2 linked regions of the Oreochromis niloticus genome follow. The main gene of each other region encodes a partner of the protein of the gene in region 2 in a complex. Links are inferred from orthologs where the notes say so. Each region holds a gene or a part of one and is shown on either strand. Other genes may lie near its edges.

Region 1 (7,509 bases), on a different chromosome or scaffold from region 2:
AACAAATAAAACACAAATTATTCAAATGTATGTTGGAAAAACTGAAGAAAGTATTGCAACTACCTGGATTCCCAGTAGCTGTTGCTTTCTGCAATGCATGTGTGGGTTAGCTGCAGCTGTTCAATAAATATCCCCTGTACACTACATATGCAATGTAATCACTACAGAGGCACGGTGCACCTGCTAAAGAGTAAACACCCACAACTTTATGTCATCGTTAAATATTTACAGTTCTGCTAACCAGGGCTCGACTTTAGAGTAGCAAGGTAAACAGAAATGAGTCTTATATTCGTTACTGTATCCAGTTTCAGTGACTGACTTGATGTCCTTTTGTTTCCATTTACAGTTTGTATTAGAGGTTTAAACTTGAATGTTCGTTGTTTCGGTAAAAACAAGTAAAAGCTCTGATACAAAATAATTCATTGCAATTACCCTTTTCTGTTGCATAATATGGGCTTTTCCTCCTTATTTTGATTTTGCTTGTTGCTATAAACTGATACCACAGCAAATCCTTTTAAACTGGAGATTTGTTTTTCTCACAATAAGCTCAACTGCAAAAGAATGTAAGCTGAGCTGTGCAAAAAGAAAGTAAAACAAAACAGAAAAAAAGTTTGCATCCAATGTTAGACGACAGAATCCGAGACACACGCAGCATTATGATAGCAAGTAAAGTGGCATAAAGAAAACTGCACAGGAAACAAGTGTGAACTATAGGAATAGACTTTCCTAAACTTTCCCACATTGCACTCTCTAAGTGTCGCCTTTGTCAGCAAAAGTCTGCACCTCCCTTTTCCTTCTTGCTCTCCAAGCTATCCTAAAATAAACAAGAAAAACAACAAAAAAAACAAAGCAAACTCACCTCACCGACTGCAACAAAGAGTCCTCAATGAAAGAGAGAAGGATCAGAAACAACGGCACTAACATGGACTGTACCAAAACCTCAGTGTGCATGTTTAAATCCCACAGAAAGCTGAAGTAAAGTAGCTTGAAGGAATGCCCCAATCCTTCACTCCTGAAACAGACAGGAAGAGAAGGGAGAGGGAGAGGGAAAAGAAAAGGAGTAAAGGAGAGAAAACGCAGCAGGCTGGCCTGAACTGGCTCGGTTCCTTCAGAGGCCAACAGTCCTCCACATGCAAGTGCCTTTGATTAGTCTTGACTCTCAGACACAGTCCTGGGCAGGAGCTAAAGTAGGGAAACCTGCCAAAATGAAAAGCTAAGTCACCAGTTTGAGAAGTAATTAGAAGCAGACGGCTTCTCTAAATTTTTTTTGTTTCAATCTTTCCCCTTTCCTTTTCCAGATGATCTCTCTACGTTGCAGTGTTTTTATTTCTAAGTTTTCTTTTGGTGTTTTAATAATAAATAAGATCCAGAGTCAAAGGAGGCAAGCCCCCGCCCCAGTATTTAGAGCGTATCCATTTGTCATAAAAGAAGCCGAGGAATTGTTCAGAGAAACTGCTTGAAGATGAATGTCTTGCTCTTATTCCCACATTATGAATTCAAATCAGTAGTTCACAAAACCAATAAGTCTTTTGTGGTAAACACAAAAACACATATATATGAACACAACACAAAATGCTGTGATCTTTGTGAGTAGCTGCACAGCTTGTCCTCTAGCATCATGTTCCTTTAGGTTGAAGGAAGTGGAGGAGAAAAGGAGCAGCGGGTTGAATATTGACTAAGTGTGAGCCACATTTCTGATGTTTGCACAAATACAAGAAATAAGAGTAAATCATGGCTTTAGTGAGTTGACTTAGCAGGGATAATATTAAATAATGATAATAAGAATAATTATTTGAAAGCAAAGCAAACCTCTGCTCTGGCAAACAGGTATATTCCTGTATACGGTGAATTGTTAGCATGGTGCCGCTTTGGGTTTTTTGTTTTTATAAATTTGTCAATTTTTCTTTGTAAAATTCATACAGAAAACAAAAAGATATCTTGGTTATGTTTACAGGAGATGGAGTGATGTTCTGCATTTCACATCTATGACATGAAAACTGATCAAAACAACTTTGTGTTGGATAATTATCTTGCAAACTGGACAAAAAGAAAAGAAAAACTGTTCACATTTTATCATAATAATTGATACTTTGATAAGCAAATCCCTTTAATGTGGCAGCTGTTGCAGTTTTATTGCATGGTAGCTTTATCTATAATAATGTTATTTACCTCCAAAATAATAGGGAATTGAGGCTTTAAATAAATGGTATAGTGCACGATGTTCAATGTTGTGTACAAAATAACAGTAGAGTAGAAACAGAAAGTAGCATAACAGAGGAGTACTTAGGGTACTGCATAACAGTTTTGAGCCACTTCCCATTAGAAACACTGGATATAGGTGCAGTGATTTATTGAAACATACATAAACATAAGTGGAAATACAGCACATAGAGCACAAACAGATTTTATACAGTTCTAACGAGCTGCAAAGTCAATATTTGGTATGACTATCTTTATTCTTCAACATAGCCTGAACTTTCTTAGACAAGCTTACTTGTAATAGCCTTCAGGAATAGTTCTCCAGCTTCATGAAGCTCTACTGTGGATGTTCACTGCCTTTTGTTCTGTTTTCTGTCAAGATGATCGCACACTGCTTCAATAATGTTGAGTTTCAGACTCTGGGGAGGCTAATCCATACTCATAGTGTTCCATTGTATGTTTTTTCTATTCAGGTATGCTTTTACTACAATGGCATGGAGATTGTGATCATTGCCATGTTGAAAAATGAGGCCCTATGAGGCCCTACTGTATGAGGCATCATACAGTATCATCTGGAAAGAGTCTGATCAGACTCTTTCCAGATGATACTGTATGGTGGATAAAACTCTGACCACAGTTTTCTGCATTCATAATTCAGTTCAATGTTGACACCACTGACTTAGAGCAAATGCACTCACAAACCATAATAAAATAACTGTGTTTTACAGATTTACACTGTTGAACCTCCTTCATACATATTGACGAGAATTTTGATCCAAATGTTTTAATTTGAATTCATCCCTTTATAAGACCTGTTGCTAATTATTTTAAGCCCTTCCACAGAGACCATTTCATCAATAAAGAGTAGATGGGTCAATTTAAGGGTCAGATGGATTTCTCATGTCTCGTGTCTTTGCTGGATTTTTTCCCATTTCTTAAGGATATCACTCAAGATACTGTTGAACTACTGCACATAGTTTTTTGGGCTGACAAGTTGGGCTAACAGCTCTTTGGAAATCACTTTGTTTGTGCAAAAATACTATGTCATGCCTGTTGAACTGTTATTGTTGACATTTTTAGCAGATTTGACTAAAGAAATTGGAATGAATTATGTGTTTTATGACAGGCTGCTAATAAAAAGTGCCTAAAAATACAAATAACCCATAAAATGGGTTATTTGCTAGGTTTGTCTGTTATGCTGTTAAATTATGCATAGACACAACACTGGTTTATCCTTTGAATGAGTCATAGGTCAGTTTTAAGTGGTTTAACAAGACACCTGAATCTCTGCATGTAATCCAGATGCCCCACTAAATATGGCCCCTACAATGCCAAAACAAAATGTAGCCCATAATATATATAATGGTTGCTCAGATGGAGTTCAGGGTTCAGGTCAATATCACACTATCATAGCTCACTAAAATACTGAAATAGAATGAGGTGATTAGCAGGCTTAATTTCCCTACTAGAGCAATTCAGAAGATTATATTTAACAACAATGCACATCAATGGCAAATAATCAACCGGTTCTAAGAGATACTGCCGCACCTCTGGGTGATTTCAAGCAACTAAATGGCGAAAGGATATTTTGGTTAAAACCAATCTGCATCTCAGTTACTGAATTTACTACGACCGAAACTACACTCACGTTTGGACAATATACCCAGCCATGCAATATCAAATCAGGTGAAGCCAGGTCACTTGAAATATCACAGAAATTTAGTAAGAAATCCAAGTTTTCACTTTTGTACTTTACTTTCTATAACATGAAAAGCACAGTTGTGATTTAACACACATCCAGTGGTTGTATTCTTTCAAGAATTGCCCTCTTTGTAACGATATATTGCTTCTACTGTTTATTTATATGTATGTGTTTATGTATATCTGATAGTTATCCATTGTTACTGCTTTCTCTCTTACTAATCTTAGAGTATAAACAAGTAATTTAATAAAATTTAAATAATCAAATATGGCAAATATGATTATTAAAATGCATATTAAATTTAATTAATTGTTAGGACAAACCTATCTTCAGACAACTGTCTCTACATTTTGTACTGTCTTTGAGCAAATCTGTCTCATAGACAAGCTTTGCCAACCTGATAAGCATGTTTGTGTATCAGCTTGGCAAAGGAGTGGAAACAAAGTTAATAATAATAATAATGACATAGTCTGATCAAATTAACTGTGTATCAAGTGATTACCAATAATGCAAATAAATATACTTGTATGATGTGATAGAGCAGCATGGCGAGCTTAAACTGTTACCACGGAAACGGCTGCGCGCCTCCGCAGCACGCACTGGTGCTGTTGATGTGATTGCTACCTGCGCGCTCCCGCGTTCTCCATACGATCCCAACACAGCCGGAAAACAGCTGATGTCATGGACAGTGCTGGACGCGGCAGATAAAAGAAACCCTCCTCTCGTAAGTGATTCAACGTGTTTCTTCTCTCTGCTTCTCCACCCGTCGCGAGTCACTTTCAGCAGTTACGTTTTTAGGATGCGTCTGAGGCTAGGTGCTGCCGCGCGCTAGCTTACTGGTCCTCCAGGAAGTGAGGAAAATCTCATCCTCCGGAGTAGGCCTTCGTGAAACATTGCCGTGTATTTGCTACGCTGTCACGTGGTCAGGTTGTTACGTATTATATAGCTTCATGTAGGCCCTATACTTGAACATATTCATGTATATTGTTGTATTTAGCTTGCTTTTGCGCCTATAGCACCTGCTCATATTCGTTTCCATAGTAACCTTGGCTCGTCCGACGTCATTCATTCAGCTTTCAGTCACAGTATGGATATCCAGCGGTTTGACAGCCATTTTGCACGACGTGGGGTCGGTCATATGCTGCAGCCTGTCAGTGGCTTTCCCGAAATGGTTTTAGGATTTCACATTTGCTCGTGAGCCCCTCGTGGTTTCCAATCAGGAAGCCTGATCCTGGTGTTCCTTCTCTGACATCGATTAATTAGAACATTTTCAAGGTTATATAAGCACCTCATCACAGTTTGTGCAGTTATGGTCTCAAGAAGAAACCTTAAAACATAGGAGAAATGCTACAAGCATTACAGGAACATTGGCATCCTGTAATATTTAATGCTGGGGATCCACTAGTTTAAACACCTGGGCCAATGTAAATTTGTTCATTTTCATTTTGCTGTAACTGTTCAGTTTTAAAATCTTTCACAGCTTCACGACACTTCCTGGAACATCTATCCAGTGATTTGATCTGACAAAGCAGATAAACACCAGCTCCTGAAAGTGGAAAATGTCATTTTATTTGCAAAAAAGGCCAGCGTCACACAACTGTTGGCTGCTACCAATGCTGATCTGTGCATCCCTTTGGAATGCATTTGAATACAATCAGTCATTAGGTGACATACTAAGTGCTATTCGATATTTAATGTTGACATCATCAAAAAATCACAATATTTAACATCTGTATCAACATACAATATTTCTGAATAAGATGAATGTGAGTTTGAAATGTGAAGTGGGTCACTCATAGTAGTAGTTACACATTTATCATCCTGCAGAGCCAGCTGTTTCAGATGTGTGAAGCATTGGAGTGTCTTTTAGGTCTTTGCTTTTGCTGTAATGGCTTACCACTTTACTTTTCATTGTCACCACTCTCAGCTTTTGTCAGCCTCATTTTAAATATACCCACACTACTGGCCTACCATTGAATAGTTGTAAAGGTCTGACCTAAATTATCAGCATTCCTATGAATCTGCTTTTCTGATCACTTTGGCTTTGTATGCAAGACAAAGTAGTTAGAGTCTTAGTTTGGAACCTTTGGGGGAATTCATTTGAAGGTATAGCACTAGTTTACTTTGCCCTCGTGGGAGCTTTGTAAAATATAAAAAAAAAATATAAAAAATACAAACTGGTGCAATGAGTAAATGAAAGGTTTAAATACTGTTAAACTCCTTAATAAAATGTATTTTCAAAGTCTGCCTTTTAGCTCATTTTATGCTTTTGGTATACAGTTGGGTCCACACATTTTTTGTACAGTAACACATTTTTTTTTTAAAATTTTGCCTCTTTACACCAAGTGGATTTAAAATCAATAATCAAGATTTGATTGAAGTGACTTTCAGCTTTAATTCAAGAGGTACTTCGCAAAAGTACTGCATTAGGGAACTACAGCCAGTTTTAAACAAACGCCCCTATTTGAGAGGCTCAAAATTAATTGGACAAACTAACATCATTTTAAATATCACGACTGTTTTTAATACTTGGATGAAAATCCTGTTCAGTTAATGAATGTCTGAAATCTAGAATCCATGGCCAACACCAAATGCTGTATTTCCTCTGTTACGATGCTCTACTAAGGCTGCTGCAGCGGCCTTCATTTGCTGCTTGTTTGTGGGTCTACATTTAGTTTTGTCAGTCAGTAAGTGAAAAGTATGCTCTGTAGCACTAAGACACATGTGTCTGACATGGTAATTAATAAATATCCCAGTTCTTTCCCTTGTGGGGTTATTCTATGTATAAAAAGGTCTGTAATTCCTGAACAGTTAAGGCATTTATTTTGCTAAACATCTTGAATTAAAGCTAAAAGTCTATACTTCAATCATGTCTTGATTGTTTGATTTAAAACCCACTGTGTTAGTGTACACAGGCAAAAAAGTGTAAATTTGTCTGTGTGATTTTTTGGGATATTTTATTCAAATTGAAATCTTCAGATGAAATGTTACACAAAACTTATCTGTGGAAATGAAAGTAGAGGTTAATGCTATTGCTATTGCGGCGTTATTATTCTCTCATCCTTAGACACTGTATGAAAAGTGCCACTAACTTAAAAAAAACTTTTTCATAAACAACCATACAGGGGGTTTGTGCTAGAGCAGCTATGAATACCTGAATATCATTGTAGGTTATGGTTAAGAGATAAAGAATTGAACAAATGAGCTGCATGCCCACATCTACAAAAGTATTTCTTGTGTCTTGAAAGAAGATGCTGCCCTCAAAATGCACTCAAAAATAGAAGTTCAACCAAGAAAGTTTGCATACTCAAACAAATACTCACAGTTACAATTAATGTGCCCAGAGATCACATTTTTTCCCGTGAGGAACATGTCCTTTCTCCAAATGGGAAAGTAATTGCAGTCTTTGCCACCTATACTCCCACATAATAGCACTTAGACCCTGTAATTTTGTTTTCACTCTTCCTCACGTCTCCATCTGCATATGTTAAGTGTAGCAATTACACTGGGAAATTGCTTCTAACTACATGGGGTTTGTAGGATGGATGGACAGTTTCTTTTCTTGGTGGGGGCATAAAAAGGAAACAAGGATGTGATACCGTTACATT
Region 2 (7,029 bases):
CCTCTAGCGTTTAATTGGTGGCAGTAGTCAGAAATGGGCTACGTACGTGTCACAATCATATGGTCAAGACAGTACTTTCAGCTTCCCTTTACGTTTTATATAACTGATGACATTGTCAGTAATTCTGCAGGAGAATCGGGAGCTGTGACGAACAGCGGTATGCAATTTTAAGTATAATATTATAGAAAATGATCCAGACAATGCAACCCAGTGCATGTTTTGTCTATTAACCTTTCCCTCTTTCATTTAGAGGCAGACCTATGAGATGACGTTACTATGATGCAGGCTGCACCACCAATTTTCGCCTTGATTATTATGTTAAAGCTAACGGCTGCAATGCATCTTTGCAATACATACACGTATTGATCCCATAACACTGTTCGATTTGGAATATTTGTCTTATTCAGTGTCGACTATTATGTGAACAGGTATGCTAGTAGTAAAGACTTCAGGGATAAAGTTGGTTCTTATTTCCCAGCTAGATCTAGTTCTTACTGCATCCTGTTGAGGGCGACAGAATACATGTAATGTGAATGCCAAAACCTTTTTGTATGTACACTATAGGTTTAAAATAATCATAAACAATGGACACTGTTTTATTATTTACATCGACCTGTCGTGTTGATATAAATCCACAATTACCCTGCAATTACCCTGATTAAGAAATTCAAAAGGAAAAGCCCTAAATGACAAAGTTAAGCAATACATGTCTTTGGTTTTATTCAGGCAGTCTGTCCTCCAGTCTATTAAATAGAAGGACAGAATAGAATGGAACAGAACAGAAATACAAGAGATTTACTCAGACATCTAGATCGGCCTGTCTTTGTGTTGATTTGTGAAGACTATCTTTTAAAGATTTTTGTTAAGCGGTTCTGGTTGTGATACCATAATATTTTTTTGAAATGACAAAATTTCTATCTATATATGGAATTAACATACAAGTTGTGTAGTGATAGTAATACAGTTATTGATAGCTAAATATTCTCTACAAAGCCTCTGGTTAATCCACTGTTAAATCAAGAATTGCCTTACAAAATTATTTTCCTCACAGTGATCAGGCCACATCATATCTTTAAGACCTCATAGTATCATATTATCCCAACAGATCACTCTCAGACTACAAGTTTACTTGTGGTTCTTTGAGTTTTTAAAAGGAGAATGGGAGGCAGAGCCTTCAACTGTGCTGCCCCTCTCCTGTGGAACCAGCTCCCCGTTTGGATTCAGGAGACAGACACTGTCTCTACTTTTAAGACTAGACTCAACACTTTGCTTTTTGATAAAGGATATGGTTGGGGCTGGGTCAACAAACCCTAAACATTCACTTAGTTATCCTGCTATAGGCTCAGGCTACTACTGGACTTTATGTTTTCTCTTTCCCCTCACCCTCAATTGGCTTCTGCAGATGGCTTCCCCTCCATGAGTCTGGCTCTGCTGGTGATTTCTTCCTGTTAACAGGGAGGTTTGCCTTCCCACGGTTCCAAAGTACATGCTCATTGGGGGTGGCTTGATTGTTGAGGTTTTCTCCAGTACTGTAGGAACGTTATAGAACACCTTCAGCTGATTATTGTGGTGAGCTGGTACTATATATATAAACTTGAATTAAATTGAATGTTGTTGTTGTATTATCAATATTAATCAATATTCATTACATGGATTATCAAAAATCCATCAAATGCATATTACTACTTCAGCACTCTGTGTCCTGTGTACTTTCTAGAGAGAAAAAATGTTGTATATTGCCAACAATTGATTGCTGTGTTCTTAATTTAGGACTTTGTGTGCTTAACTAGCGACTGTTCAGCATTAAAAAAGACACCTTGTGTGCTCATTCAGGCTTAAAATCAATGTTTTGTAACCAATATTTCCCCCTTTCAGTTCATTTTAATCTTCAGGCACACAACCAAGGCCGAATTTGCTGTGATGAGAACTCATTCTGTATGTTTACACGAGTGTCTTTGGCCCATGGAAGTAACTCCTCCCAGGAAGAGTGATGGGAATTAGATAAAAGTACAGGCTATCTGTCAGTATCTCACAGGATGTGAGGATAAGTTTCCAGAGACACATTTTTCTTCTGTGAACGAGATTTACTGTGAGCTGTCTCAAGAAGGATGTCCGTGCTTTTTAGGAGACCCACACTAACCAGGTTGCTGCTGCTGAAGAACATTAAGCAAAATCAGAGGTCAACCATCTACAGCAAGCCACCCAAGGAAAAGATTGGGCCAGTGGTAGGACTGACTAACTTTTATTGTACTTGTAATTGCACTTAAACAGGCAGACATCCCTGAATATCTACACTGTATAATGTCCTGCAACAAAACCAAAGACTGTAGTAATATTTTTCCTAAACTGAATGGATGCTAAACCACAAGTAATGCAATTTTAGGGACTATGGTGGTATAAAAATGCAAACAATATAAAAAAGTCGGTCGTGGGAAGTCAGTGTCTGTGATGGTTCAAATGCCCTTAATGCGAAGAATTCAAGTGAACTGCATTCCCCAGTCTGCAGAGTGGAAGAGATGTTTTATTCATTTGTTATTTATAAGTCAGTGCAACGCTCTGGCCTCTGTAAAGGGATCCTATGATGGAACTGCAGCATAGCAGGAAGTGTTTATGCCACTATAAATCTGTTAATCTGTCCTAAGGGACATCCATAGGGGCTTTTACAAAGCTCATCCCAGGTTAGGAATACCATGGTGGAGAGGTACAGAGGGAATATCATGGCAGGAAAATATAAGTGGGTGGTGGAGGTGAAGTTATATCATGCAGTGAGTCACTAAGAGCGGGGCCCTCTGTTGTGTTCATTGGGTGCTTAGTCTTCTCTGTTCAACTTAACATATCAAAGAAGATATTTGAGAGCTCCAACACTAACACTGCATTGAATGTGTATTATAACCTTTCATGCAGTTGATTACATTTGCAGTGTCTGTGAATAAAACACTCATGGTTATATTTTATTGGACTTTCTTACAGCAGTCTACCTTTGCCTTATGCGTGTTTGCTGTGACTCTCCTGGCCCCGGCTGGCTGGATCATGCATCATATCCCAGAATATCGAAGACAAGGCCAGAATACCTCAACATGACTGATTTCTACAGGAACTCTGCAGACAGGCACCCGAACAATGTCACTGTGTGAACCTCTCTCCACTGTGTAAAATGTCGTGAAAAAAAGTAAAACCTTTGTTAAATCTGAAGTCTGACTGAGCTATTTTCCTATACAGTTACAAATGATAACTATTGTGTATTTTATTTCTGAGATTATTGACTGTTTTGAGGGTGATATTAAAAAAAAGACAAAATTTTTGCTTTAAAACACTTTGAGGATATCATTTCCATCAGTCAGGAGTATAGACATACAAATTTCTTGGCAGAAACCATGATGGGAAGGGTCTGTCAGGACCTCAGACCCTGCGGTCTGTTTATCGTTCAGTCCTGCATCTACTAGCGGAAGTGCCGCTTAAATGAGAAATGCTGCATTTAGACACAGGCTTAAATATTCATATACATGCACATTTATAGCTCGAAAGTGTTATTGGATAACAATGTACTCTTTAAAGCGCCCAGCTGATAGTGGAGATTAGTATTAATATTACTAAATATCAGTATAAAAATATTAGGACACGCTGCCAATCCACGGTGGCCAATCAGCTGTATTTATATAAAATTGGAAAAAAAAACCCACGATGTTTTCTCAAGGACATTATGTTTAAGAAGGTGTGACAACCATCTGTTGCATGTTTAGCATTTCATGCATTACAAATACACACATGTAAAGCATCACGGAGGCAAATAAGCGGAGGTGCTTAGTATTTCCCTCCTATAATCAGCTCAAACAGCGCTGATAGGGTTGTCGGAATTCTTGAATGACAATTTGTCAAAGCCGGATCAGTCCATTTGGAAAGGTATGGTGTGTCACATATATGTCACCACCCATCTCTGCAACGAGAGAGCAAAATCCCCACCACCACCTCAAAAAAATATATAAAAACGATTTACAAAACAAGCTCTCCCTTTATTTCCGTTCAAAGATCGCGAAAGCGACCGAAGCACAGCTAAAACACCACAGCGTATAAATCCGTCGTGCAAAGTGGTACAATCAAGACGAGCCTGGGCTGCAAGGGGGCATAGTCACTTTTTCACGACTGAGGGAAACACAACGCCGGGAAGGGAAAAACCTATCAAAACAACTGACAGTCTGGGTTTTATGTTTCCCCAAGTGTCTGCGAAATGTCTACGAAGGCAGAGCAGTGTAAGTACGGCTGTGTGTATCTGTGCGTGCGTGTTTCTGTTTTGTCTTGTGAGGGGGCTGGAAACTGATTTTTTTTTTTTTGGTTTAACCAAGAAAGCGAACAAGGGGAGCTGTCCTTGGTGATGAAACCGCGGTTGCCAAGGCAGGTTGCAACACGTCCTCTCACTGCAGAGGATGGCTGGAGGTCTCAGTGCACACACAGAGCCACTGAATCACCCTCTGTTTCTCTGCGTGTTGATGGAACAATTCCATGTCCGGATCGCTCTGTGATCCGTGTTATTTATTTCTTTTAAATTTTATTTTATTTTGATTGACGTGGCTGGCTGAGGCGCGTGGGAAAAGCGAAGTGTAATGCTGGTCTCAAGGTCGACCTGACAGGCTACTGAACAATATGGTGGCTTTATATTGATCAATCGTGGGGTCTGATCACACTATATTGACGTCTGTTGTTCTTTCCACTTCGCTGCTTGTGAACAGGTGGACACCAGCCGCTGTCTTCTGATTCTTTACCGCTAAACAATAGCTAAAAGACGGGGTCAAACTCAGTGTTAGGGGTTCCCAGCCCCATCAGCTGGTTAAAAGTTGGGTGTTGCTCCTGTTGTTTGGTAGCCAGTAAGTGAGGGAATGAACAGAAAACGCTGAATCTGCTGTTGTGACTAACAGCTCGAAATATTATTAAAAGCTTGAAAAATATTAAAAAATTAGTCCTTTTTTTCTGAGGAGGTTTAATTTTATGATGAACAGGAAAGATGCTGTGCTTCAGTATTTATCGCAGCACATGCTTTGACCAGACAATCCTCCAAGCCTGCAGCTGTTATTTTTATTTTGGGGTTTGTCATTTACAGGTCAGGAAGGAAGCTAAACATTCCTGCCTAAAGTCACAGAAAATGGGTCAGCGATCACCCACTTCAACATATTTGAACTCCTAACAACAAACAGCACAGTCATATCTGAACCTACAGAGATTATTTCAATATAGAGCAGCCAGCTGGGCTCATTACAGAAATGTTCCTCTGTGTTGCTTCTTAAGCCCCCTTTCATGTTCGCTATAACCACATTTTCCCAGCTTGTCTTGGGACTTGAACTGGCAACCTTTCGTGTGTGAGCTTGTTTCTGTAAGCAGTAGGTTACTGCCTCCTCTAGGGCTTCCTGTGACCTGCTGCTATACCAAAAAAGGTCGCCCGGTGAAGGCCAGAGAACCATGGGAAAACACACTCTTTGTTTAACTTAATAGCTGAAGGATTCATGTTAAATACTACCTAACAACTTGTTCAGTTACATGATATATGTCTTTGCTGTCGTGCATCATATCTCACTAGTGTTGATTTGCTTGTTGCTCTGCTCTTTATTTTGTCCAGTTGCCTCTAAGATACGATACTTGCAAGAGTATCACAACCGTGTGCAACACAATATTTACCCAGTGCCCTCCGGAACAGACATTGCAAACACACTGAAATACTTTTCCCAAACCCTGCTCAGGTAAGTACCCTGCTCTGGAGCCACCAGGTGAAGTAAAGATTGTAGAATGTTTGATATTAGCTTCCTTCACAATCAGATGAGATTAATTACAGCAGGTCGCTCTGACACACTTTCTCAAAGGCATGACAGTGACACAATTCAATGTCTCATATTAATTTATAATGTCAGCAAGAGGTTAAGGAAGTGGCCATCATGGCAGATGTTGCCTCGCCTCTTCTGCTCTGAAAGATACAGACTGTAGCAGATTTCCTGTGTAATTATGGTGTCGTCTTTTTAAGGCAGCCGCAGAGATAGATGGCTCAGTGATGTTTATTGATTCAGTGGTCGGTTGCTAGATGAACGCTTTCCTGGGGCGGTTTGTTGTGTCCTTCCCAGAGGGCCTGGAGTTCAGCTCCTCCGGCTATGCAGTTGCAGGGTCAGCCTGCTCTCTTGGGTGCTGTGAAGGGAACAGCATGTTATTTCCTCTTCCAGCATAGGTCAAGTAGGCAGCCATTTTGAACACGTCTAATTTAATAGAGCACTATTTCCTCTTTTTTTTCTCTCTGTCCAGTTGGGGCTTCATTTTTCCAGACATGCTCTGCAGAGATAGGATATTTCTTGTGGTTGCAGTATTACTACCCGCCAGCTTCAGTGAGAACAGAGGCACTGTCTTTTCTTATTAGCTAATTTATTAAAGAATGGTGGGATTACTGGAGGCTGAACTTGTGTGCCTCACTTCTATCATTATTATCAGCTTAGGGTGCAATCTATTTGAGATTGGCAGCTGGCCTCAATTCTACACAACTCCTCAGCCATCCATAAGGATTATTCCTCTGCCGTGGTGCTCACAGAGTATCCTGGATACTCCATACTTTGCTGAAGGGCTGTCCTGAACCAGTCACTGGGGTGTTTCAAATGTAGCCTCTCAGGGCACAGATTGAGCGTGACAGGGGTGGCAACTCTGGAAATGGGCATTAACTCGAGTGACGATTGTGCCTCTGCGGGGCAGTATCATGCGAGCGAGAAAAGAGTCACTCAGTATGATGCCACTGTTAACGGTTCTTTGATATTTTCCCGAAGCACAGTCTCTTAGCCTCAGATATGCAGAACAAAATCACTCTGCCCACCATTAGAGGAGTCTGGATTCCTCAGCGGGGACTCCAGGATTATCCATACATCTGTGCCTTCTGAAGCCCGGGGCGAAGAAATAGAAGAAAAAAAATCAAAAGGGAGAGAGAGTGGGAAAGTGGGAGTAGCGAGCCTTGAGAAGTGGAGCAGGCATGTGTCATCTTCGCAGAAAAGAAATAGCCAAAGGAGGAGGTTG

Evidence for each region. The genes of interacting proteins can lie anywhere in the genome.
Region 1: the proteins of unc79 (region 2) and nalcn are in contact, whole or in part, in a cryo-EM structure (PDB 7SX3), measured with the Homo sapiens proteins. The link is inferred for Oreochromis niloticus from reciprocal best matches to the Homo sapiens genes UNC79 and NALCN. Residues at the interface, in NP_001333147.1 of Homo sapiens: Cys861, Gln862, Ile865, Glu968, Pro969, Asp970, Phe1020, Gln1022, Pro2088, Asp2089, Ala2092, Pro2093, Leu2095, Leu2096, Met2099, Leu2139, Pro2141, Asn2142, Gly2143, Ile2144, Gln2147, Leu2148, Ser2151; in NP_001337678.1 of Homo sapiens: Gln349, Met350, Phe351, His352, Glu353, Gly358, Trp359, Gln360, Leu361, Phe712, Ser713, Ile714, Arg717.

What each region holds. Positions count from the first base shown.
Region 1 is NC_031987.2:23,390,612-23,398,120, reverse strand, and holds the start of nalcn (sodium leak channel NALCN), read left to right. Parts: upstream 1-4,486; 5' UTR 4,487-4,525; coding exon of another isoform or gene 4,526-4,584; 5' UTR 4,585-4,625; exon of another isoform or gene 4,626-4,637; intron 4,638-7,509. Other genes in the region: itgbl1 (integrin beta-like protein 1), read right to left, coding at 860-951. UniProt on the Homo sapiens protein: Voltage-gated ion channel responsible for the resting Na(+) permeability that controls neuronal excitability. NALCN channel functions as a multi-protein complex, which consists at least of NALCN, NALF1, UNC79 and UNC80.
Region 2 is NC_031983.2:11,500,378-11,507,406, reverse strand, and holds the start of unc79 (protein unc-79 homolog), read left to right. Parts: upstream 1-4,008; 5' UTR 4,009-4,225; coding exon 4,226-4,247; intron 4,248-5,605; coding exon 5,606-5,726; intron 5,727-7,029. UniProt on the Homo sapiens protein: Auxiliary subunit of the NALCN sodium channel complex, a voltage-gated ion channel responsible for the resting Na(+) permeability that controls neuronal excitability.